Schizosaccharomyces pombe: one gene and its partners. Changing the gene in region 2 together with the main gene of any one other region gives a genetic interaction. Each region holds a gene or a part of one and is shown on either strand. Other genes may lie near its edges.

Region 1 (4,061 bases), on a different chromosome or scaffold from region 2:
TGGGCGATATATGAACGAAGTACCTGTGTAAGAAATTTCTATGACACTGCCATTGGTCAACTTCTCCAACAGCCTTAAAAACGAAACCTGGTAATCTTTGACACCAGGATCGGCTTCATCTGGGTAAATTCCTTCAACTCGAATCGGAGTTCCCGAGAGAGTTGCAAGGACTAACCGATGCGTCAAATACTCACATCCTTTAAAGCGTTTGAGCTGACCGGTTGACATCACGAGTTTAACAATTCAAAATGAATGCAAAGCCCCGAATTATTTTAAAAACGCGTTTTTCGAGACTTTGATATTTCAATTCCTTTACAGGAAATTTTTAGTTTTGGTAAAAGAATTTCTACAGCGCAAGAGGTAGAATTGACCTCTCAGCTAGGAGTTGCCGTGGTAACCGTAAAGCTACTTGTTTACTAAATAAATGTAAACAATAAAAAAAGTACTGTATTTTTTAAAAAATTAACTGTTTTTACTACTAAAAGAAAGAAATATACTTTCTTATATAATATTTAACACATTAATAAAATCAAGTAATTTTATTTCTAGAACATAAAAAGCAATAAAACGATGATTGATTTTATGCTTTGAGAGTTTTGGTAATATATAAATACTTTTTTAAAATGCCAGAGAACACTAGAGGAAAGAATGATACAAAAACCTCTGAAACATTAAAAAAGTGAAACGTTAATATATGCGGTAAAAGCGTTTTAGGCTACGGGATTGAAATTGGATAGCTCAGCGTTAGGACTAGGTTGCGAGGTTGAGTTATTACTGTTGGAATACTGACCTCGCTTTGAGCGATTAAAAAATCCTCCACGGCCACGACCTCCGCGATAAAATCCTCGTCCACCTCGACCACGTTGACCACTTCCTTGGGAACGGTTGACAGAAGGGCGTTTTGAAGATCCTCTGGTATTGGAATTTAATTTGGGTGTTCCATCTACGACTCCATTGCTAGGATCAGCTGCTTGATACCATTCTGGTGACATTGAATCCAATTTTTGCTGCATTTGTTTTTGTTCAACAACTTGATTTTGCGTGGGATAAATATTGGTCCCATCTTTGCCCAAAACATCTACTTCAACATTTTCAGTAGGAACCTGAAGAGTAGAATTAGCAGGAACAGATGTTTCACTGGGGAGAGCGGGTTCCTCAACATGCTGTCCTTCAATTTCGCTCTCATTTAAAAACTGAATGCCACGGTTAAGTGGTCGATTAGTTTGACGGGCTTCGTCATCACTAATACTCTGTTGCTCAATGGGTTGACCAACTGCTTGCTCTGGTTGCTCCGCATAATCATCTTCGATAAGTTCCTCAGCCTGTTCACTAGGCAAAGGAGCAGCGAAAAAATTATCAACTCTAGATGAAATCGTCTGAAAGGACACTTCACTTTCAGGTACAACGTCTGTTGACGAGTCGTTCAAATCAGCAACAGCTTTTTCAGATTTCTCGGTACCCTCATACACAATCACCAATAACTTTTCAACAGCTGAATTGAAAGGCGCATCATCTGAAGGATGAACACAATTATGGCTTGCAAATCGTAGAAAACGGACCAAACTTGAGACTTGCTTTTGAGCGGTGTCATATCCTTCGCGGTATTGTGCTTCAATCTCTTCTTTCCTTTTAGCATTTTCGGTCGCCTCAAACTGACGCTTGTGTTTTTCATCACGGATCCTTGTAGCATCTATTTGGCTTAACAACTCCTTCAACTCATTCAATGTCGTCAATACAGCATCTTTACCTTGTAATGCTTTTCGTTGATCATCATTGAGAGAATTGGAATCGCTAGCAGCTATTTCTTCAAGCTTTAGAATTTTTTGCTACAGATTTAGTAAGTTTTAACGCCCAATTTAATAAATGATCTTACCTTCTTTTTCGTAAAGTTACGAATGCGCTTGGTTAAATGCTCCACAATAACGCTTCCGAGTTCTCCCTCTATAGGGTTTTGGGTGATGTTTTCACTATTTTTATTGTTTCCCTGGCTTGGCATGGTTTTTTTCTTTTCTCGCTTTTATCCCACAGGTTGGTTCTTCGCAAGTTTGGTTGACGTGCCACATGGCTGCCACCCTACATGATGAACCTACTAAGTATCCACATCGTCAAACATTGACTTTAAAAATCCGCAAACACTTTTGGCAGTCTTAATCCCTAATAATAGGAACAATTTATTTTAAGCTATCTCACAAAAAAAAAAATCGAATAGAAAGAATACGTGTTTTTATTAGAATTTGATATTAGCGAATTTCGAAGTCAATTTTTCTAGCATCCTTTACTAATATATTTGAAAACTGAATTATTTTGATTTATAAAATTATGTTTTCTATTGATAGTTGCTTGAAAACAAGGCCCTTAACTTTTCGAATTGCTCGTCTTGGTATGAACTTCACGACATGTTCAGCTGCTAGATCATACGTTGGAAAAAAAGAAATCATTGTTCCAAAAAATATCCAGTTTGATTTGGAGGGGGAACAACTACAGATTACTGGACCTCATGGAACACTTAACATGAGATTTCCAAATTATCTCAATCTCTCGAAAACTAATGACATCCTAAAAGTAGGAATGGATGCCAATATAGAAAAGCAAGCTACTAAAAAGCAACGTGCAATGTGGGGCACTACTAGGGCTATCCTAGCTAATAATGTAAAGGGAGTAACTATGTACTGGCAATCTATTATCAAATTGGTTGGTATCGGGTATCGGACTTCTCTAAACGATGGAAATATTCATTTAAAAATAGGTTATGCAAACGACATTTTGGTCTCTATCCCTACTGATGTACAAGTTGAGAATCCAACGCCAACCAGCTTGGTACTTCGTGGAATTGATCGACAAAAAGTCACACAGTTTGCAGCAAAAATTCGATCGTTTAAAAAGCCCGAGCCGTATAAAGGGAAGGGGATTTATGTTGATGGGGAAAAACCGCAGTTAAAAGCTAAACGGAGCATATCATGAGTTCTTTGGATTTCATTATGCAGTACATTCTCATATTTCAATTTTCCATCTGGCATACACCTTGTGCAAATTCACTATACAAACTCATTTCTTACAAACACTTATTAAATCACATTGCAGTAAAAATTGTCACAGACTGTTAGTAGCGTATAAACGTACAAAAGGAAATGTTATTCAATGAATAAAAATATAAAATCATCATTCGCTCGACACCCTTTGCCTCCTAGAACAGTCCTTTACGGAATGTCTGACCTCAGTTTTTCATGGATTGTTGTGAAACTGCCTGTTTATTCCATTTACGCAATGCAAGTTCTCGTAAGCTTCTTCCTCGGGGACGATGCTCTTTTTCATACAAATAATAACCATAAGTACCGACGAAGATTCCAAACAAAGGATCCATCCATCTGTTTAAGTAACATGTTAATATAATGAACCGAGTCTTCTTACAATCTTACTTAGAAATTAAATAGGGTTGAGACATCTTCTTTTTGAAATGACTTCTTCTCTTTTACGTGGCTAGCTGATTACTTTTAATCAATAGTAGTAGTGAGACTGTAAGGTTGGAAATATGTAGTAGCCTAATGAAGTATATGGGCCGCATTGAGCAAATACCTAGATATATCCATCATACATCCTTTTTATCGTAGTAATAAACTGATATTAGAGTCATTTTGTCAAATTTAAAGCTCGCTTTTTATTAAAAATTTGAGAATGCTTTTATTTATGTTTCTGTTTCTTAAATAATTAATAGTTGCATTCTCACATTCTTTTGAGAAACTTAATAAAAATGTGAGTATTAAATTCTAAGATGAAGTTTGACGAATGTATTTCCCTAAATTGCTTCCTCCTTATTTTTAATATTAGCGAAAATTCGAACTTGCCCACTAACAAAAGCCCAGTACATGTAGAGTGCAAACAAAGCGCACTACATAAACAACCATCGTTGTTAATATGTCATTTTATAAAGAAAAATCAATTAATGAAACAAATCTCGGATCGTTCGTTGACGAAAGTAATGAACTTTTTTTTTCGGCATTATCGGAATCCTCAATGAACCATGGAACTCCTGATGATAGCATTCTACTTGACTTAGTAAGTCG
Region 2 (3,168 bases):
AGGACCTTTCTAAATTCGATAATGAATCACTTCTTCATACCCTACATTATATTTGTGTTCATGAGTATTTGAATTCATCTTATTTACAATATTCAGAATAATTAAAATAAAAAATATAAGACAAGCCTGCCCAACATATAAAGAAAACAATATTTGATTATTATTTATTCGAGCTTTTGTTTTAGACATAATATTTATAATTTACTTAAAAATTTAATAAAATCATTGAACTTTTCTCAATAAATTGACGACATTATTTAAAAAAAAAAAATAAAAAAGGTCTTGTAGTATAAGAAAAATAAAAAGATAGTAACAATAAAAAAATAAAATAAAATTAGCGCCTCAAGTCATTTCGACATGATTACAGCTATCCCTTCTTTCATTTTATATTTTTTACTTTTGATGATTGGCTTTTCCAAACAATAAATACCAATTTTAGCAAGAGCAATACGATGGATGTTACATGGTCTGCTTTGTATATATTTTCGGAATGTATAGTAGAAAATCATAGTTTAAAGATGATATTATTGAAAGAGCACTTGAACAATTGATGTATGAAACGAAAAAGTTGAGTCTATATCTATATGCATAAAGGAAAGTAAACAATGCATGAATTTTGAAATATAAAGAATCAATCAATCAATTGAAATATTGGAACGTTATTATCAAGATAGACGCCACAAATTCACTTAATTATCCAAAGCCTTTGATCTTTCTTCGAAGGTAGCCTTGCTAGCAGGTCTGGCAAGAAGTCTTTGATGCCAGGAATAAGTTCTAGGAAACTCTTTTTCAAAGTCGAGCTGAGGCACTTCTTCCTCGATTGAAAACTTTCCTTCTGCAAAAATAATTTCAAGGAAGTTATTCCATGAAATGAATGATAAGTCAGCAATTGTGAACCGGTTGGCCACGAGATAATCACGGTCTTTAAGGATATCTTCGAGGACTCCTAGAACACGTTTGATTTCATTCCTATAACGGGTAATGGCAGATATGACTAGCTCCTGATGATAGACGCTAAACCATCCAGCCTGTCCCCAAATGATGCCTTGGCCAGAAGCTTGAAAAAATAAATATTGTATAACTTTGTAGTATTCAGGATGGTCACGAGGCAAAGATATCTTCCTTTCCGTATCATATTTGTCAGCTAAATAGATTAAAATGGCATCAGATTCCCAAATGGTATAATCGTTATTGTGGTGATCAATCAAGGTAGGTACTCTACCGTTAGGGTTTAAGGCTAAGTGTTCGGGGGATTTCTGCTCATTTTTTGAAAAATTCACATATCTGGTTTCATAGGTAAGGTCCAACTCCTTCAGCGCTTGAACCACCTTCCATGGATTAGGACCATGAGCATGCGACCATAAAGTGAATTGAGCCATGATACTTTATTTTGAGTGTGTTCTATTGTTAAATGAAAGGAGTTTGGCAATGGATTAAAATATAAAGAGCATCTTTACCATTTTATATACAATTCTTACTTCCATTGCGTATGCAATATTTATGAAAAATTTTGGAAAACACCCGAAATCGAGTTGATCAATTTCATCCAACTTACTAATCGATCATACATTAGACTCATACGTGGATTCAACTAAATTTTACTCGATTAGCTGACGACAAGCCGGAAGTTATGATTTATGTCAAAACGTGATCAAAGAAAGATAAATCTACTACCGATTCCATTTACTAATACATTTGAATCCTGTTAGCCGGTTACACGCTACATTTAATCAATCTTGTAATGCATCAAAATTTCATGTAAAATTTCTACCAACATATAGTGCGTGGGGACTGACTTCTCGTTTTGTTTAACTATGTATAATCCTTGTGGGAAATAAACGTATGCTTAGTGTTATATTTAATTTCTTAAAGGGTCGGCTTAATGCAATTCCAAATTCAAATGCAATTAAAACTGTTTCAGGTTCTTAAGACATGTAGTTTTCAGAATTTACGAGTCAGTTGAATAGACATCTTATGATAAAGTTAATATAAAAATAATAAAATAGTCTCAACCATACGCTCGAGATTTATTTTGTTCACCACCTGTTCAAAAACCAACGTGTCAAACTTGCTTTTAGACTACTGCACATATTAATTCAAACATGCTAGGGATTCACAATTGGATTTTCAACTGTAAAGATTAGTTATGACGGAGTTTTGTTTCTCACATATCAATTTAAAATTCTCTTCACTCTAATAATCTTATTTCGAAATCTACTTTATTTTTCATCATACAGTGAGTGTAATATGTTTAATTTCTGTAAGCGAATTGGTAATGATTCCCTATGAAAATTTTTTGTTTACATTTACTACCTTGACAATACGATACGTAAATTTTAAAGCTATTCAACATAACTGCAAACACGATGAGTAATTTTGCATTATAATCAGAAAAAGAGCAATGGAAACCAAAAAGCATACACCAACTTGATCAGAGTAAAGCAAGTACATGAACCAATACATGTTTATATCCGTTAAATACTATTTTTTTTCTTTTTAAAAGTATATAAAAATAACCTTTTTTGGATTATTCAATAAACGTCCAGCTTTTACGTCTTTCATTAATTGATTGAACTTTTAAAGTCGAAACCCGATAAATACAATCATGTCTAATAACGTTTATTCATCAAAAACTTTTATTCATTCAACAAGCTCAAAGCTCCATGTCCTTCAATTGACTATTCAATGTGATACATTGCAGCTTTTCCCATATTCTTACAACCCATCGGCTTAGTTTCAACGCATTTATCCAGGATCCTAGTCCGCGAAATCGAGATGCTTTGAAGATTAAAATTAAATTTAATTTTATGCGAGACTGGTTTCCTTATTTTTTGTATAGTCGCATGCAAGCGAGGTTCGCATAATTTGGAAAATAAAGGTAGTCAAGAAGACGTTGAATTAAGGCTGCAGTTTCAAAGTACTCTACAAACGATTCCTTTTAAAAAAAAAGATTCAAAAAAAAAGGCAAAGGGTTTAAGTAATGCTTGTTATTTCAATTTACCTCCAAACAGTTACTAATGCAATTGCAAAAAAAAAAACCTACCTATTGAATCAAAATTTCTAGCCCATCCATCGCTCCTCAAGATAAAGGAATCGATATTTTGAGTTTAAGGGAGTTGCTGATAGATTTCAGAATTAAAAATTTTTGGAAAAGGATGTCGAGAACAA
Region 3 (2,653 bases), on a different chromosome or scaffold from region 2:
ACCAAGAGCAGCAGCGACACCACCGCATCCATAATGGCCACAGACAATGATGTGCTTAACCTTTAATACGGTCACGGAGTACTCCATAACAGCTAAAGCATTAATGTCAGAACGAGGAACGACATTGGCAATGTTTCGATGAACGAAGACTTCACCTGGAAGTAAATTCAGAATGGTGGTCTCAGGAACACGAGAATCTGAACATCCGATCCAAAGAACTTGAGGAGTTTGAATATCTTTGGTGGCTGTAAAAAAGGATGGGTACTTTCTGCTAGTTTGTTGTGACCAAGTCAGATTGCGTTCAAGCAAATCTTTGATTTCCCCATTCTGGTCAATTTTACCAGCGCCAGAAACGGGAGAAGCGGTTGAAGCTTCTCTGTCGATTATCTCGTCTTGATGATCGATTTCCTCAATACGACGTTTCAATCTATCAGGCATTTTCTTTTTTTTATCACTTTTCTCTAACAATTGACTAGACGAAAAAAACAATCTTTTTCTTCCAAGCGATGAAAAAGATATGGATTGTAAACAACTATTATAATTACAAGGAAAACGAATGAATCTCGATGTTAACCGCGGAGCCGCTATTATCGAGTAGCTGCTACTTTTTATTTGGTTAAAGGTAGACTGGAGTATGGTTTTTGGAAGCGGAATTTTTGTAGTTGTCAAAGCACCGAATGGTGGGAGCATGATACGTTTTTATACCACACGACAAAAATGGAAACGTTTGTGATGTGAGCAAAGCTATGATGATGAACTTTGATGTATAGCTAATACTCCGATAACAAGCCGTCCCGTCCGTCGAGTAGGTAAGGTTTATTGGTTTATCTATTATATAATGTAATTTATTTTGCTAGATCTTTGCAAGGGACTACCTACGGATAGTTTTGACGGCTTCGCAGTTAACAAAAAACCGGATACGATTGGCTTAAAATTGCAAATTGTCCCAAATATGAATAAAATGTTGACAGCCATAAAGATTTCGCAACCGTGCGAAATTTTTTTTTTCTAAACACAAAATTATTGGAGAAGAATCCGTCATTTATCAATTACGAGTATATCGTCTTATCGTTATACGTGTTTTCGATTAAGTTAATCTAAAATTAAATTAAGCGATAATTAGGTTTTGTAGATTGAAACATTTGTTAACATGGGCACCGCTGACATTACTATAAAAAAAGACGAAAAAAAAACAATTGCCCATTGTTACCCATAATAGGAGGAATGAAATGAAAGTAAAGACAATTGAGAAAATTTATTCAATAGCTTATACAGCTATTTCAAGTCTCGGCCAGTAAGTTAAGCACTTGAAGTTATATTTAAACCGTCAGTTTACCAAACATTAATATGTTTGTTTCAATTCCCATTGATAAACTCAAATACGTGTATGACATTAATTATGCCTCTTTGTGCATACGGTTTTCTTACTATTATAAAAATAATTAGCACGCCCTTAACTAACAACTATTTAGGTTGATTTGAACTTGTAGAAAAAGCTTGTAAATATCGTGCTCGTCAACTAAACGAATATAACAAACCTTAGAAATCATCGCAGCATTCCACTCAAACACATACCCTAACCTAACTCGAAAACCAGTCACAAAAGTTTCGAGTCCCTTAGTGTTGTGAATGCTTAATACTTTCTGCCATCAACACGCACTGCACTCCTCGTCAAAATGAAGTACCTTGCAGCTTATTTACTCTTGACCGTTGGTGGAAAGGACTCCCCTTCCGCTTCTGATATCGAGTCTGTTTTGTCTACTGTCGGTATTGAAGCTGAATCTGAGCGCATTGAAACTTTGATCAACGAGCTTAACGGTAAGGATATCGACGAGCTCATCGCTGCTGGTAACGAGAAGCTTGCTACTGTCCCCACTGGTGGTGCTGCTTCTGCTGCTCCTGCCGCCGCTGCTGGCGGTGCTGCCCCTGCTGCTGAGGAGGCTGCTAAGGAGGAAGCCAAGGAAGAGGAGGAATCTGATGAAGACGTAAGTTAATTTTAGATAAGAAGCATTCTTTGTTTCTCAAAAGCATCTTACTAACAATTTTAGATGGGTTTCGGTCTTTTCGACTAAACCAAATGATCCCTTGTTTTCATTACGCTTTCATAAAAATAAATCGCCGTGTTGGTTTTATTTTACCAATTTTTTTTTAGTGCTCCATTCGTAATAGTATTTTTCGTTTGATAAATGTAATTTTAGCTTACTTTAAATGTTAATGTACCACTGGTGCCCCGTGTTGTTGATTTGAATATAAGAGACTTTACACTTGTAAAGCAAGTCGTTGTTTCGAGAATAATAAATTTTATTTAGTATGTTACTAGGAAGTCTTTACAAGCGGCCCATAATTTTTCTTCAAATGCTTTCAAATTGTTTTGAACATGAAGCATGCAATAGTCTTTACAAACCTCAAATATTTCTTTAATGTCATTTTCCACATTTGAACAAAATGTGGTCGAAGGATGACTTATTCTAACTGCTTGCTGTAGCCTTTGAGCCCTATCTAAAAGCCACAAAACAAAATCATCAAGGGAAATAGAATAGCGGCCCAAAATACAGTGGTGTAACCCTCCAAATGATGGTATATTCTTCAATAAAAATAACGAGTTATTGGTAGGTACAGTCTGCTGAGGTTGAGAGCTGGACGGGAACTCCAT
Region 4 (4,624 bases), on a different chromosome or scaffold from region 2:
CGAGTTCGAGTCTCGCAGTGGGAGTTTACTTTTTATTTTTTGTTTCGATGCAGTAGTGAGGTTTTCACTTCCGGTAAATTCGTAAACAGTAAATAGTTATTAAAGCCTAATTCGACGTACTTTTTTGTACCTATTCATTGGTTTCATGGTGAATGATGATTATACAAAATACAAACTTATTATGACTGGAAACAAAGATTGACTTGCTCATTTTAAATCTTTTGGCTTATAAGATAATTAATTCTCTTCATATTTGGATACACAAATTACAAACCAAATTCGCATAAAAATATTTTCATTACAATTATTAGTCTTGCCTTTAAACCGAATTCATTTTAAATGCTGTTAACAAAAAAAAAACCTTAAAATTATAATTTAAGATTCTGACCTCTTTAGAAGTAAAAACAAGCAAATCTTTCAAGAAATTTCTAGTCTTTGTAATTTTGTTCAAAACTTCCCAAACAGCGACCTTGTAGTTGTGCTATTTTCTTTTTTTCTTTAAACAATCATAAACCAATCTACCAAAATTTTCATTTCTTTTATTAACTTAAAATCTTTTCTCCAATTCAACCTTTTACTTTTTTTTTTTAAACCCAAATAACTTTGTACGATGCAAAAAGATTTAGATCGTAAGTCCAAGCTCCAATGGGTTTGTTGATTCTAGAATCTTGCCGGGAGCAGCCACATTTCCAGTAGGTTGAGCAACGCCATTGGAAATAATGATTTCTTCAGGTACACCGGCAGGGGAAATCTTCCAATGCTTATATTCACGACGTTCTTCAATATAATCAAACGCGTATTCACCTATTTGATCAGCATCCACACCAATTTCTTCAGCATCAGGGCTCACTCGAAGTTGAAGGTAGGGAATTTTGTCCGTAATGAATAAAATGATAAACGTGACAACAAAGTCGTATGCACCAACAGCACAAATATAGGCCATTTGCAAGCCTAGTTGGCGCCAATGGTGATCAAACCAACCACCTCTGATTTTGTTTTCACCAACATAAATACCATCCATTGCTGCGATATAATCAACGGCAAACAAACCATTCAAAAAGGTACCCACAAAACCCGCAACACCGTGGATAGCGAAAATATCCATCGCATCATCAATGCGCATATGTGACTTTAACTTAATGGCCCAATTGCAACATAAGCCAGTAATAGCACCAATTGCCAAAGAGGCATGAGGACTCACAAAACCAGCACAAGGCGTTGCAGCCACCAAACCGGCAACAACCCCGGAACAAAAACCTATGGTTGACCATTTCCTAGTGCGAAAAATGTAGTCGTAAATAACCCATACTAAACCAGCTACAGCACCTGCTAAGTTTGTGTTGGTGATTGCCATAGCGGCTCGCAGATTGGAGCCGTAAGCACTACCACCGTTGAAACCAAGCCAACCAAACCATAGCAGAGATGTTCCCAATACAACATTGAGCACAGAATGAGGGCGAAATTGTTCCTCAACAAATTTGGATCGACGTCCTAAACAAACCGTATACGCCAAAGCTGCAAATCCTGATCCAACTTCTACAGGTCCTCCGCCAGCGAAATCGTATACACCAAATTTAAAAGCCCAACCATTTGGATTCCAAATCCAACACGCTATGGGACAATAAACGACAGTGAGCCACACAAATGTGATGATGAGCATTGGACCAATACGACCTCTTTCAGCGGCGGCACCAGTGAAGAGGGCTACAGTAATTGCGGCGAACATTCCTTGAAAATTTGCAAATACAAGCTCGGGAATATTATTGCTACCAGGAGAGTAATCGGCAAGTGTGCGAATAAAGGCAAAATGACGAAGATTGCCAATATAACCAGAGGTTCCAGTTTGAGAAAAAGCAAGAGAATAACCCCAGAAATACCATTGGAAAAAACTAACACATAAACCAAGCATAGAGAGCATGATAAGAGCCAATGTATTTTTCCTTCTTGCTAAGCCAGAGTAGAAAAAAGCCACACCAGGCACCATAATAAGACACAATGGAGTACAAGCTAAAATCCAACTAGTGTTTCCATAATCATAAAATTTATTAAGATCTTCGTGCAAAACATTTCCACCACTACCACCACTAGGTGTAGCTGTAGCTGGCAGTACTGAAATATAAACAGTAGAAGTTGCTGTGGGAATTGAATTCACTGACGACATGGCAACGAATTTTTTAGAAAAAATTTTTTCTTTCTTTTTTATACCTTTGAAATTAAGAGAGGGATTTAAAAATGATTAAATGTTAAATTGGATTGGAAAGGTCCTAAAGATTCTGAGTTATAAAACTTTTTGGTCAACAAAGAAGCAAAGCACAGTAATAAGACTATTAGTAATTGATTCAGACACTAGAATCAGTGATGGTTAAAAATACTTAATATGATTTAACCAAAAAGGAAGTTGTTACGTAAAAGGGGAACTCTTAAAACAGAAAATCAATGATCTGATCTATATTTTCAAAAAGAAAAAAAAGTAAAATATCCAAGGGAAATGGATAAATATTCTAGCATTTATTAAAAAAAAACACTATTTTCTCTTGAATTTAAGTCAAGATCGAGATATAATCTTCAGCAATTTCTCAAACGAATCAAAACTTCGAGTGACTAGATGTAAACAGCACTTTTACAAGTAGTATAATCTCAAGAAACGATGTCGACTTCCACAATCCCAAACATTCAAAAATTCGTGAAATTGACAATGGCGCTGTTTGGGGAAGAAGTTGTGTTTGACGCTCACCGAAAATCGCTATATATGTCAGTAGTAAATAACGGGGGCACACAGAGGCGACTTCCAGCACGAGTAAAAAAAACCAGGTAGATAGCGGATAATTTCTTTTTTAAATAAATGTTTTTTAACTACAAGGTAGTGATGGTTTTTCTATCCGAAGCTGTAACGGATGACTCGGGAAAAAAAATTCGTTCACAGAAGGTTGTTACTTTTTTGAGATGGGAATAGATGAGAAAGACCGGCATCGTCACAACAATGTACGAGTTTGCCTTTCAGTTAAATGGATTTTCAACACAGCTATTTAACTATTGTGGAGCATGGCCTCCTTTTCCATTCAACTCCTTCCCCCGGGTAGATTTAATGTACAGACAGCAACGACACACGAAATGTAGTTTTGCCTTGAAAACAGTAAGTTTATAAGTAAAATAGGATGGAACAGCGCCTCTAAGACAGTGAATGTAGCAAAAAAAAATTTTTAGTAATTCAACAGAAAATGTAAACAAGTAACTTTCAGATCTGGATTATTCTCCACAGAACGATAGTTGAGATAACAACCTTATGCAAATTTAAGTATGAAGAGATAGGCGATAAACTGCAAATGTAACTGATAGCTGGATAACCAAATTCTATCAATATCTAAACGGTGGGTTATAGATTCGTTTAAAGTTGAATAGTAAGCAGCTTTCACCCTGGATTTGTTGCTCAGTATTGTCGGCAGTCGACCCGTCAAAAAAATGCCACGGAATGGAAGCTGAGGCATAGACACGTGTGAAAGAGAAGAAAACCATTTAATTATCTTTATTTCATTACAAAATGAGATTAAAAAAATGCAAAAATAAAGAACAACTATGCGTGCTTACTGCCTCTTCAAATAGCAGCAACAGAGTATCTAGTTGCGCAAAATAGTAAACTAGAAGGTATCCATTTCTTGCTTCTCTGTTTTTCTAGCTGCATTTTTTTAAGTTATTCTTTCTCTTTTACGTTATTTAAAGCTTCACACAAGCCTTGTTAGGTTTACAGACCAAGTGGATTGGTTCATTTTAATGAGTTTGATGCTAAGTGTACAAAGGATGGTAGGAAGGAATAAAAAACGTAACTTGCCATGTCTCTTCAAACGAAAGGATTCTTTAAACCTATATGAAAGAGTAGCAGGAAGCATACAGGATTGAGCTAATTCTATAGTCATTCCCATTCGCAAATAAATCTAGCAAGGTTTGCTGGATCCAGTAAGGAAACCATCGAGGTTGTCATTATCGAGTATTTGATGAAAGAAATTCATTTGATCCCGTAATGAACCCATTTCTTTTTCAAAGCGAGCCATAACAGCTTCTGTGACAGCCAAAGAGCGCTCAATGGATTTATAATCTTCAGATTCGGTGAATTCATTAGACTGAACGTGTTCTAACCCATTTTCTAGAACATCTTCGCTTTCCTTGGAATATTCATCAACTACAATAAGACTATTAGAAGAATTACGTGCTTCTGCAGCCTCTGCGATTTCTCTCTCACAGCGAATTTGCTCTTCTTGAATAATCTTTTGAAGCTCCTCCAAATCCATACTCTCTTTATACTGGAACCTCCAGACAAGCCAATTTCGAGTATAAATTTCAAACTACAATATTTCACAAAATTTCAAAGGGAATCGCGAAAAATCAACTGAGTGAAGAAGAGAACTTTACCAAATAATTTATATATGCAAAATGGGGTCTTGTATAAGTCAAAATTTCAACAAATTCGCTATCCTTTACTGCTAATCCCGTGGCCTTCCTATCTCTAAGAAAGAAGTAACATCACCATTTGCTACTTTACATCTGTAATTCCCATTTCAATAAGTAAAAGGGTTTTATTTGATAATCTCAACTTTTGAACCTAATACACAATATAGTATTTACAGCCGAA

What was found.
Region 1: mutations in gst1 (region 2) and cpn1 together harm fitness less than expected from each alone (positive genetic interaction), as found in Schizosaccharomyces pombe (one large-scale study listed by BioGRID).
Region 3: mutations in gst1 (region 2) and rpp201 together harm fitness more than expected from each alone (negative genetic interaction), as found in Schizosaccharomyces pombe (one large-scale study listed by BioGRID).
Region 4: mutations in gst1 (region 2) and amt2 together harm fitness less than expected from each alone (positive genetic interaction), as found in Schizosaccharomyces pombe (one large-scale study listed by BioGRID).

Annotation. Positions count from the first base shown.
Region 1 is NC_003424.3:332,595-336,655, reverse strand, and holds cpn1 (caprin), read right to left. Parts: upstream 2,040-4,061; 5' UTR 1,997-2,039; coding exon 1,874-1,996; intron 1,850-1,873; exon of another isoform or gene 1,827-1,849; coding exon 711-1,826; 3' UTR 525-710; downstream 1-524. Other genes in the region: rcl1 (rRNA processing protein), read right to left, coding at 1-228; mrpl6 (mitochondrial 54S ribosomal protein uL6m), read left to right, coding at 2,320-2,961; nce101 (non-classical export protein 1), read right to left, coding at 3,215-3,365, 3,417-3,442; protein eti1, read left to right, coding at 3,913-4,061.
Region 2 is NC_003421.2:1,718,636-1,721,803, forward strand, and holds gst1 (glutathione S-transferase Gst1), read right to left. Parts: upstream 1,436-3,168; 5' UTR 1,380-1,435; coding exon 690-1,379; 3' UTR 508-689; downstream 1-507. UniProt on the Schizosaccharomyces pombe protein: Involved in the oxidative stress response and detoxification.
Region 3 is NC_003423.3:3,641,513-3,644,165, forward strand, and holds rpp201 (ribosomal protein P2), read left to right. Parts: upstream 1-1,648; 5' UTR 1,649-1,676; coding exon 1,677-1,985; intron 1,986-2,048; coding exon 2,049-2,072; 3' UTR 2,073-2,141; downstream 2,142-2,653. Other genes in the region: nce103 (putative carbonic anhydrase), read right to left, coding at 1-438; histone lysine methyltransferase Set6, read right to left, coding at 2,306-2,653.
Region 4 is NC_003424.3:1,729,164-1,733,787, reverse strand, and holds amt2 (plasma membrane ammonium transmembrane transporter Amt2), read right to left. Parts: upstream 2,720-4,624; 5' UTR 2,162-2,719; coding exon 623-2,161; 3' UTR 520-622; downstream 1-519. Other genes in the region: SPOM_SPAC664.13 (uncharacterized protein), read right to left, coding at 3,930-4,283. UniProt on the Schizosaccharomyces pombe protein: Transporter for ammonium to use as a nitrogen source.